Linked DNA regions of Caenorhabditis elegans. The protein of the gene in region 1 interacts with the protein of each later gene in a pairwise test. Each region holds a gene or a part of one and is shown on either strand. Other genes may lie near its edges.

Region 1 (5,077 bases):
CATTTTTGATATCAAATTCGTCTTCATCATCCTCATCCTCCAGATTCCAGGGCTTTTTCTCAGATTTTTCATCAGATTGCTCAGATTGTAGATCAAGCTCTTCCTTCTTCTTTTGGGCTCTCCACTTCTCCACATTACGACGCCTACGCTCGACTCCCTGTAGTAATTCGGCTTCTTTCATTTTCATAACTTCTTCGGTGTCTGCAAATTGATAAAATTAAGGGGTTTTTTTGCAAAAAATTGAGAATTTGGGCTTTTTCACACTTTTATGGGTAAAAGCCGGCTGGAAATTCAATTTTTTGGGTGAAATTTGAGAAAACTCACTAAAATGTTAGGTTTTTTCGTAACAAAAAGTTGAAAATTGGCCTATTTCTTGCGAAAAAAACATAAAATTCACACTTTTCTGGGTGAAAATCGTCTAGAAATTCAGTTTTTTAGGTGGAAATTGAAAAAAAATCGCTTAAATTTTTATGTTTTCTTGGGAAAAAGGTAAGAACTCTATGGATTTTGCATGAAAAGTTCATAAAATTCACATTATTTTTTGCAAAAACCATACAAATCAGTGGAAAATTGGAAAAATCGCTTAAAAATGCATTTTTCTGGGTGAAAATTAGAGTTTTTTTTTCGCAAAAAATTGAGAATTCTATGGATTTTGCATGAAAAATTCGAAAATTTCGCACTTTTCTTGGTGAAAAATCGCCTAAACTTCAATTTTTCAACCAAAAACCTTTAAATTTGAACAATTTTCGGCTCTTTCTGTTGACAAATTTGAATTTCAACGGTATAAGGCGAAAATTGAATCAAAAATTCAATTTTTCTATCCAAAAATTGTCCGAATTTCGCTTTTTTTCTCCGGAAAAATTAGAAATTGCATGAAAATAGCAAAAATAAAAACGGCAAAAATAGCTGAATTTTGATGCTTTTGGCATGAAAATCGGCTAATTTTTGCGATTTTCAGTTTAAAAAGTTTTTTTTTTTTACCTTAAAATCCTATTTTTAGGCTGAATTTCGTTCAAATTTCCCAGTTTTAACTCAAAAATTCGAAAATTGGGATTTTTCCAGGCAAAAATTTGCTTTTTTTGGCTTTTTATCGATTTTTTTTGCCAATTTTTTTTGCAATTCCTTACCATTCCGTGACTCTTCCATTTCAAAAATCGCCGTTTTACTCTCTTTTTCCTTCTTTTTCTCTGCATCTCTCTGCTTTTCACGATCTCTCGTCTTCTCCCGATCAGTGTCTCGTTCTCTGCGTCTCTCCCGATCCCGATCTCTGTCTCGATGTTCCCGGTGCTCACGACTGCCACGTGGCGAGCGGCTCCGGCTTCTTTTTCGTTCCTTTGAACGGGAACGCTTTCGTTTGTGCTCTTTGTGCTCGCCGCGACCCATCGAAAACTGGAAAAAATTGGGGATTTTTGGATTAAAATTGGGAAAAATACGATTAAAGTGTGCGAAAACAATGAAAAATCACTGGAAATTCGTTAAAACCTTCGGATTTTTATAAAAGAACAATTTTAATCATTTTTAATTTCAAAAAGTGTTTTAAAATCCAGAAAATCTGATTTTCTGCCTATTTTCTGGCCGATTTATCGTTTTATGTAAGTAATTTGACTTCAATCTTCACTTTTTCACTTAAAAAACTTCGAAAAAAGCGAAAAATCTATGGAAAATAAAATAAAAACCGAAAAAAAAAAAGAATTTCGAAAATAAAAATTTTCCGCACTACGACACTCCGAAATCCCGCCGCGCGTGTTGTTTAGCGCTTTTAAAAATTGGCGCGAACGCGCAGGTGTTCAAACACTGTCCGTCGATTTTTCTCGCATTCCTCACAATTCTGTCGCTTTATAGCCGGCTTTCGCGCAAATTTTTGTGTAAATTACGTTAAAGTCACTTAAATTCAAGTTTTCCAGTGCGAAAAACTAACAAACTACTTGTTGCAACTCGGAAATTCAAAAAGTTGATTCGCAAATGAGCCAGCGATCATTTGGAAGTGAAATTGGAAATATGACGGCTGCTACGAATTCGAATGATATTGCGGAGTAAGTTTAAACGTGAATTTAAATTTAAAATGTTTTAAATAAAAAAATAAATTTTTTTTTAACTTATTTCTCGATTCTCCAAAATTTTGAGAGTTCTTTTTATTGTTTCTGGTGTAAAATTCAACGTTCTCTTCATTTTTCACATTGAAAACCCGTGAAAATCACTAAAAACCACTGGAAATTCATGAAAATCCAATAAAAACCAATGGGTGTGCAAGCGCGCCCCATTGCGAATATTTGAATTGTTTTTCGTTTTCGACTTTTTTTCTCCGAATTTCGAGCCAAATTTCTCTCTTTTTCCAGCGTTTCGCTCGCCACACCACTAAAATCGACGGAACAAATGGAAAAGTCGGAAAATGGGACAGGTTAGTGCCGAAAAATCGTGAATTTCCACCCGATTTTCACCTAGAAACCCGAAATTCCACAAAATAATGTTTCTTTTTTCAGCCGTCTCCCGCCTCCCAAAGCCACTCGCCATTGAAGTTTACTCGAAAGTTCACAATAGTGAGTGAAAAACCCAGAAATTGTGGATTTTTCATCAAAAATCTCCAAATTTTCGCTAGAAAACTAGATTTTTCGCGGAAAAATCCCCCAATTTTCAGGCAATTTATCAGAAGATGACCTTCTCGACGAAATTGAAGACCTAATTGATGAGAAATTCTTTGCCGGAGAGAAATTAATGAGCTCTGGCAAAGAATATACAGTGGTTTCCAGTGAAAAACGCGGTGGGCTCACACTTTACACAATGGAGGACGGCACCAAAATTGGACATCGCGATTTGAGGTGAAAATTGATGGAATTGCATGGTTTTCGGTGGAAAAATGTGGCGAAAAACCGTTGAATTTCGCTTATAAATCGGAGTTTTAGGCCAAAAATGACTAAAATCGTTAAATTTTCAGATTTTTCATGCAACAAATTTGAAAATTCCGCATTTTTTCTTCATTTTTCACCCAAAAAAAAAACCACTAAAGTTACAGGTTTTCATGAAAAATTGCTTATTTTAACCGAAAAATAACAAAAAATTGATTTTTTAATTCATTTCCCACGATTTTTACTTCAAAATTATCATTTTTAGGTCATTTTTTGAATTGAAAAACGGATTTTTAGATCTTTCCTGAGCAAAAATGGGGTTTTTTTCATTGAAAAATCGAGAATATCCCAATTTTTTAACCGGTAAATACGCTGAAATCGTGTTTTTCAGCCAATTTTAGACCTTTTTAAGTGAAATATAAAGTAAATCCACAAAATAGCTGCAAAAATGCGTAATTTTCAACATTTTTGCATGAAAAATCCAAAAATTTTCATGTTTTTTGATTAAAAACTCATAAAATTCGAGATTTTTGGACGGAAAATGCTTTAAAATATAATAATTTCACATAAAAAATGCTGAAATTTTTCATTTTTGCTATAAAAAATTTGAAAAATGTCAATTTTCAGCCAAAAAAGGGTCTCTCAGTGGGCGAAATTACGAAAAATGGCCATTTTTGCACTAAAAATCCCAGAAAATTCATTAAAATTTCCTCGAAAACCCGAAATTTCCAGTGAAAATTTATGGAAAATTAGTTTTTTCGTTCAAAAATTCGATTTTCCAGACAAAATGTCCACAAAAATTTGATTTTGCGGTGAAAAGTGTAAAAAACTGCAATTTTTTTTTTCAAAAATCCGTTTAAAAAGAGTCTGAAAAAGTTCAAAGATGTAATTTTGGATGAAAATTGTGTGAAATTTCACAATTTGGCGCTTAAATTGTCTCAAAAATAAGTGGAAATTACACTTTTTATGAAGAAAAATCCAAAATTTTAGAGAAAAAACCCTAATTTTCCCTCAATTTTCAGACGAAAAAAGGGTCTATCAGTGGAAGAAATCAAGAAAATCGCCATTGAAGATGCTGAATTTGTGGATGAAAAGCAGTGGAAAGTCCGGGAAGAACTGCTCGCCGAGAATCCGATTCGTGAAATTAAAAAATATGCTCCAATATTCTCAGCAAATCGGAAATCTACGCCGAAAACTGCTCAGCTCAGTGTGGCGGCAGAAGCCGATGATTCAGATGTACAAGAGGTGTCAATGGATGCTGAAAGTGGAGCAGAAGCTGCAAATAAAAGTGCTATGGTACGGGAAAATTTCGATTTTTAGCTGGAAAATTGAGAGAAAAATCTGATTTTTCGGAGAGGAAAAGTAAAGAAAAATCAGGATGTTAGCTGAAAATTGAAAAAAAAAGTAGATTTTCAGCTGAAAAATTGACAGAAACGCTATTTTTGTAGTCAAAGCTCGATTTTTCGTAGTAAAAATACAGAAAAATTAGGATTTTTCCTAAAAAATTGAATAAAACAGTGAAAAAATCGTGATTTTGACAGAGATCAACTAAATTCCGATGATTTTTAGCTTTAAAATTGACAAAATTTGTGAGAAATTAGATTTTTCGACTGAGAAATTGAGAAAAACGCCATTTTTCATAGTAAAAAATGAGGAAAAATGGGATTTTTATTTGTAAATTTCTGAAAAAACGAGAAAAATTGGATACATTTTGTGAAAAATCGAGAAAAAAACCACATTTTACAGTGAAAAATTGACTAAAATCTCGCAAAAATCGCCAAAATTGTGCCAATTTTCACCAAAAACTGTTAGAAAATATAATTTTTTAATGTAAAAATTGACAAAAATCATGCGAAATTTCCAATTTTCTGAGAACTTTCTGTTGAAACTTGTGAAAAAACCGAAAATTTTTGCAGAAAACTCCACGTGGAGCTCCGCGAGCATCTGGAGGCCCTGTGATCCTCTCGAGCCGCCGTTTACAAGAAAAACAGAAGGAAAAAGATGAAAAAGAGAAGGAAAAACTGGAGAAAAAGCAGAAAGAACAGGAAGAGAAGAAGCAGAAAAAAGAAGAGGAAAAGGCGAAAAAACTGAAAGAAAAAGAGGAAAAATTGAAGGAAAAAGAGGAAAAAGCGGCACGAAAAGCTGAGAAAAAGGAGAAAAATAATGGAACTATGGACAAATTTTTGAAAAAAGACACGGGCTCACCGAGCAGCAAAAATGCACCGTTATTCTCA
Region 2 (4,943 bases), 6.9 Mb from region 1:
TCTCAAACTCAAACTCGCGTCATTAAGATAAACGAGCATCTACACTTTTGGTTGCAAAAACTGCAAAAAAATTTTTTTTTAAACTATTTCCCAATTGATAATGCTTTCAAGTACATTTAAATGAACGTCTTCAAATATCAGCAAGCAAATTACAGTAACATTTCAATTCATGTTTATTTAGTTATACCAGAAAAAGTGCACCTGCCATTTACGCACTGTTTTATGGATTGAATCCATGACTTCTAGGCAGGTAGGCATGAAGTCCGAAATCTTGCTGCTGACTTGAATGAATCCCTAAACGAAAGCTGTCAAATACTTGAAAGAACACATTTGTATTCTTTTTTAATGTGCTTCTCGGAAAATTTTGATTTTTAAATGTTTTCTGCTACACTACGAAAATTTTCATAATATTCGCTAAATTTGCACGTGTTCAGTGAGCCTAACAACGCGACATGTCTACAAATATCTAGACACGAATGTATTTCTAACATTTGAATTTTTCAACTTCTTATGAGAGAAAGTCTTATGAGAAAAATCAAACGATGAACAGCTGAAGCATAACAGAAAATAAAAACATTTTTTCATTTCGACTATAGTTATAATTATTTACCCACAATGCCTGATTTCTCGAATTTTCATATTTTTTGTTCTTCTCTAAAATCTCTAACAATAGCCAAAATGTAGTCTGTTTTAAAGTTATTATGCGAGAAGCTGTGCACATATCCCATCTCGAGCCCCTTTTGTATGCACACTGCTGAGCATCAGAACGGACGGTATGCTGCACATCCCTCGTGACTGCGTATAATATCCACCCGATTTTTGTGTGATTAGCTGCAGAATATCGTATATCGAGGCGCGTTTTCCATTTGTGGCGATAATGCACATTTTTACTGTTGAATTCTCTTTTGAGGCTCCATAAACCACAAATAATGCGACGATCGTGTATTACAAATGTTCGACAACTGTGATTTCTCTGATTTCATCTTACTGTAGAAATAATTTCAAACTTCGCGCACAAATGGATTTCACCAGAGCGCACTTGCTGTATTCTTCGGTAGCAAATTTTTTCCAGCGAAAAGCATTTCGAAAAGCCTGTAAGCTTTCGTGAAATGAGATAATTTTTCGTGAAAAACGTTTCTACAATTTTTATCAATTTATTTATTTCAACATCTTCAAAAACATGTTACGTTCTTAAAAAAATACCTTTTAAAATTTACTATTAGCGAAAAATTGCTGAAAATTTTTGTTTTCTAAGATTATTTTTGTCCCGATGGTGTCGTCGTCACAACATCTCATACATATATACAGATAAAGAATAAAAGCGAATCCATTAGATTGGCGCATTTGATTTCTCGTTCAATCCGTCCTTTTTCTGCTGATCTTTCACGTGTCTCCTGCCGGCGGCCCCGCCCATTTTCTCATACTTTCAATTTTCAAGGTCCTTTTGTCAGTTCAGTATTCTAATTTTCCTCGTTCCTCGATGGCCTTCCGGTTACCTTGCTCTTGTTACAAAGCTCTCGCGAGCAAACTTCAGCCCGCCTCTTTTTTGAGAACTCGACTTGTGCTCGCCTGCTCTCTGTTGAGCTCAATTTATTCATTATTCTGATCGCAATTTTGTTTCGAATTAATAAAATTAGAAACGTCAACTATTTTCAGATTTCTTTCAGACATCTTCTATGGAATGCCGCCAATCAATGAGCCCACAGCGACGACAACATCAGCATCGTCGGTGTGGCAAGGAATGACACAGGTTTGCATAAAAATTGAATTTTATAAAGTTTAATATCAAATTTCCTATTAATATTAAATAGAATTCTATAAAATTTTATGCTTACAATAAAAAAATTGATTTTTTAAATTGTATCGTAGTCTCTGGCACAACGCAGGTAAATCGTTGCGAGACCAAGCCTTCCTTTGAACCATTTTCTTCAACAAATTGTTTCTTTTTTGTGGTTCCCTGCGCGCACAAATTGTATTTTTTTTAGTCGAAAAACTTGTTTCTTTGAAGAATTCATGAAATTTAATAATTAATTCAATAAAATATTTTATTTTCAGTTAAAATCTCAAGTCGACTTGATCAATATCGCTCGAGGAATTCTCTCAACCCCCGCAACAACATCAACATCATGTCTTGACATCCAGAATTCGACACCGATCATCGGTTCGTTGGCCTCCGGGAAATCCCAGACGCCAATTCTCACAGCGACAATGACTCCACAAATCGGTACGGTAGATTGTTATTGTCAATCAAGAAAAATGGGGGAGAAATGCGCGGGAGAAATTGAGTCGTAGTTCGCGTAAACAATTGTTGTTTTCTCTGAAATATTAATCAATCATGCTCGTTTTAAGGACTCACTGGGCTTGGTTCGTTGACATCGTTGCCTCCAGAACTTCTACTACAGTTCGCTAGACTGGACGGATTCAACTTATTACCGTGAGTTTTTTTTTCTTTTGAAAATTCAAAATTTTGCCGAAAATAGGCAGTTTTTTGTATGGAAAAAAAATTGCAATTGGAATTCAAAAAGAAATAATCAAAAAGTTGAACCTTCCGAATTAAATTTGAATTTTGATCTTTCATTATTATCTTCGCTCAAAGTCTTGTGCTTTGATCCATATCTTTCCTCCTGCTCTGTGACTTTGTACTTTTCATCTGTCTGATTTCTGCTTGACAACGCTGGAGTGTCTGATAAATCTAATCAAGCTGAGCAGCGCTATTTTCTTAAAAAATGTGATGTTACATACAGAAGAGACATAGAGTACATTGCTAATTCATAAGTTTAGAATAAAGAAACTCAAAATCAAAGAACAAAGTCAAATAATCCTTCATAATTTTAGTTGGTTGCCCTTGTCATTGGGAGCAGACTTCTCATATATATATATAAATGTGCATGCGCGACAACGGAAATGCAAGTAAAAGAGCATTGAAACAAAGATCCGTTGTATGTTGCATGACACATGAGTAGTGGAGAGTGTGGGAGAAAGGTGCAGAGTACAGCTGACTGGCATGCTCCTGTCGTTGAAATGTGTAGAAATGAAGGGATTTCTGTGCTGCAACGTTCCAGAGATACTTGTTGTAAGAAAGCTTCATTGTAATCATCTTTTCTCGACTAGACTGAAGTTTATATGTGCACCTGAAGCAGCTCTATTTTACAATTTGCAACTCACTTTTCTATGATTTCTAAATTAGTCGATGTGATTTTTCAATTATAAGATCAACGGGAACAAGTGGTGCAACATTATATTCAAGTTTTAACGGATTTATATAGCAACTTAATCAAGCTATTATATAAAAAGTCGAACACCAAATTGTTAGGTCTTCCGTCCATCGTTTAAAGCCCGAAGTCCTTCATCCATCCCCAATTGTCCGTTCCGCCTGACCATCGAAACAGCTTTGCAGCGCTCAATGACAGCAGATGCGCTTCAAAACAAACCGATAATAGGAGGAAAATTGAAGGGGTCAGAAATAACCCGCCTTGGTAGATCGGCTCCGTTTATAATTCCTTCCAAGCTAGCCGGCTCTCCGTTATTACTTCTTTGCCTCTTCCGTATATCCGAAACAGGTGGAAACTCTCGTCTCATTACCAACTCGTCGACTTTCTCTTTACTAAAGCTTTCCTCCTCTGACCCATCTTGTGCTTAACTGCATAATTTGAAATTCCCAGACTGCATGAGAACTTTTGCGTTGATGAGTCTCGTCTCTTTTTCTGCAAGGAAAAAAACCACAGAGAACCACACACAACGAGAAAGTTCAAAGGCTCAATGTATCATTTTACGTATTTCTCCTTTCTTTTCTTTCGCTAGCGCACACTTCAACATCCAAAAGCGCCACGTGTTTGTGTTTCGGGAAAACAGAAAACTGTGTGCTATAGCAAACTCAATACCCCATCACCGGAAACTTTCCGGTTTATCATCGCTTTTTGCGGTTTTTCTTTCGTGCGCCTGCCTGCTTGCAAAATACCACAAACTCATGTGTTATCGGTGTTGGCCTACAACATTTTCTATCATCATTTCGATGTTTATATAAAGATTTTTTCAAAAAGAAATGCATAGATCAGGATCGTGTTGATTCCAAAATGGAACTAGCAGGCTTTTGTCGTACTTTAGAACCTGGCTTATTGCCAAAATATTTCTATTCAAGTTGACAGCCGTTTGCTTTCGATTATTGTTCCGATGATCCCCATTTCGCCCTATTAAATGTTCAACATCTATTTGACAAACTCTAAAGACTACAAACTACGGGCATCTAGAATAAAGACGTTATCACTTGTTCTATTGTCCAGAAACTGTCATGTGAATATCTTATAAATCTCGTTGATCTTCAGTGGAAAAGCTGAATGAGACTAGTGTGTTAGAATATTGAAGTGATCTACATTAGATTGTTAAAATCTGCTGAAAGCCTACAATTACACATTTCAAAGCAGTTGAAATTAATTTCGCCAGTTTTATTTTGAATGGTGTTCATCGTGTAATCATTCGGATCGTTAGATCAAAACGATCAATTTCAGCGAATAGTCATGATAAAATGGTGACTTAGAGTTATCAGTTTGTGTTTATACTATAAACAACCGTTTGTGCATACGCAAAAATCGACTTTCGACTGTTTTAACTTCTTGTACAAAGATCGGGTTCACGAGGTGGCCAACCGTTTGTATTTTTTCGTAGAAATGACCTACAAACTAATAAGTATTCACGGACTCTTCTTCACTCCTGTGCGTAGTGTCCTTAGAGTGTTTGTCAATCCCTCGGTTTCCACCTTGTCCGCCTGACAGATCACTGGTGAGGGAAAGTGGCAGAGGGCAGTCGGAGAACAAGATAAAAGACGATGAAAAGAAAAAGAAAATTTCACCCATTTCGGTGTTCCTTTTCTTCTTCAATTTTTCCGAATGTTCCTTTATATTGATTCAAACAGCAAGAATTTCACGTGTTTAAGGAAAATGATAGTC

Evidence for each region.
Region 2: the proteins of F53H1.4 (region 1) and nhr-66 interact in a two-hybrid assay, tested with the Caenorhabditis elegans proteins (one large-scale study listed by BioGRID).

Annotation. Positions count from the first base shown.
Region 1 is NC_003282.8:1,308,262-1,313,338, forward strand, and holds the start of F53H1.4 (PHD-type domain-containing protein), read left to right. Parts: upstream 1-1,904; 5' UTR 1,905-1,962; coding exon 1,963-2,033; intron 2,034-2,336; coding exon 2,337-2,398; intron 2,399-2,480; coding exon 2,481-2,537; intron 2,538-2,635; coding exon 2,636-2,816; intron 2,817-3,865; coding exon 3,866-4,139; intron 4,140-4,759; coding exon 4,760-5,077. Other genes in the region: ddx-46 (RNA helicase), read right to left, coding at 1-201, 1,128-1,383.
Region 2 is NC_003282.8:8,233,316-8,238,258, reverse strand, and holds the start of nhr-66 (Nuclear hormone receptor family member nhr-66), read left to right. Parts: upstream 1-1,676; 5' UTR 1,677-1,681; coding exon 1,682-1,750; intron 1,751-2,055; coding exon 2,056-2,224; intron 2,225-2,349; coding exon 2,350-2,434; intron 2,435-3,244; exon of another isoform or gene 3,245-4,943. UniProt on the Caenorhabditis elegans protein: Transcription factor. Binds to regulatory elements and regulates transcription of target genes, including the potassium channel accessory subunit mps-2. Negatively regulates transcription of mps-2, thereby modulating age-dependent memory decline.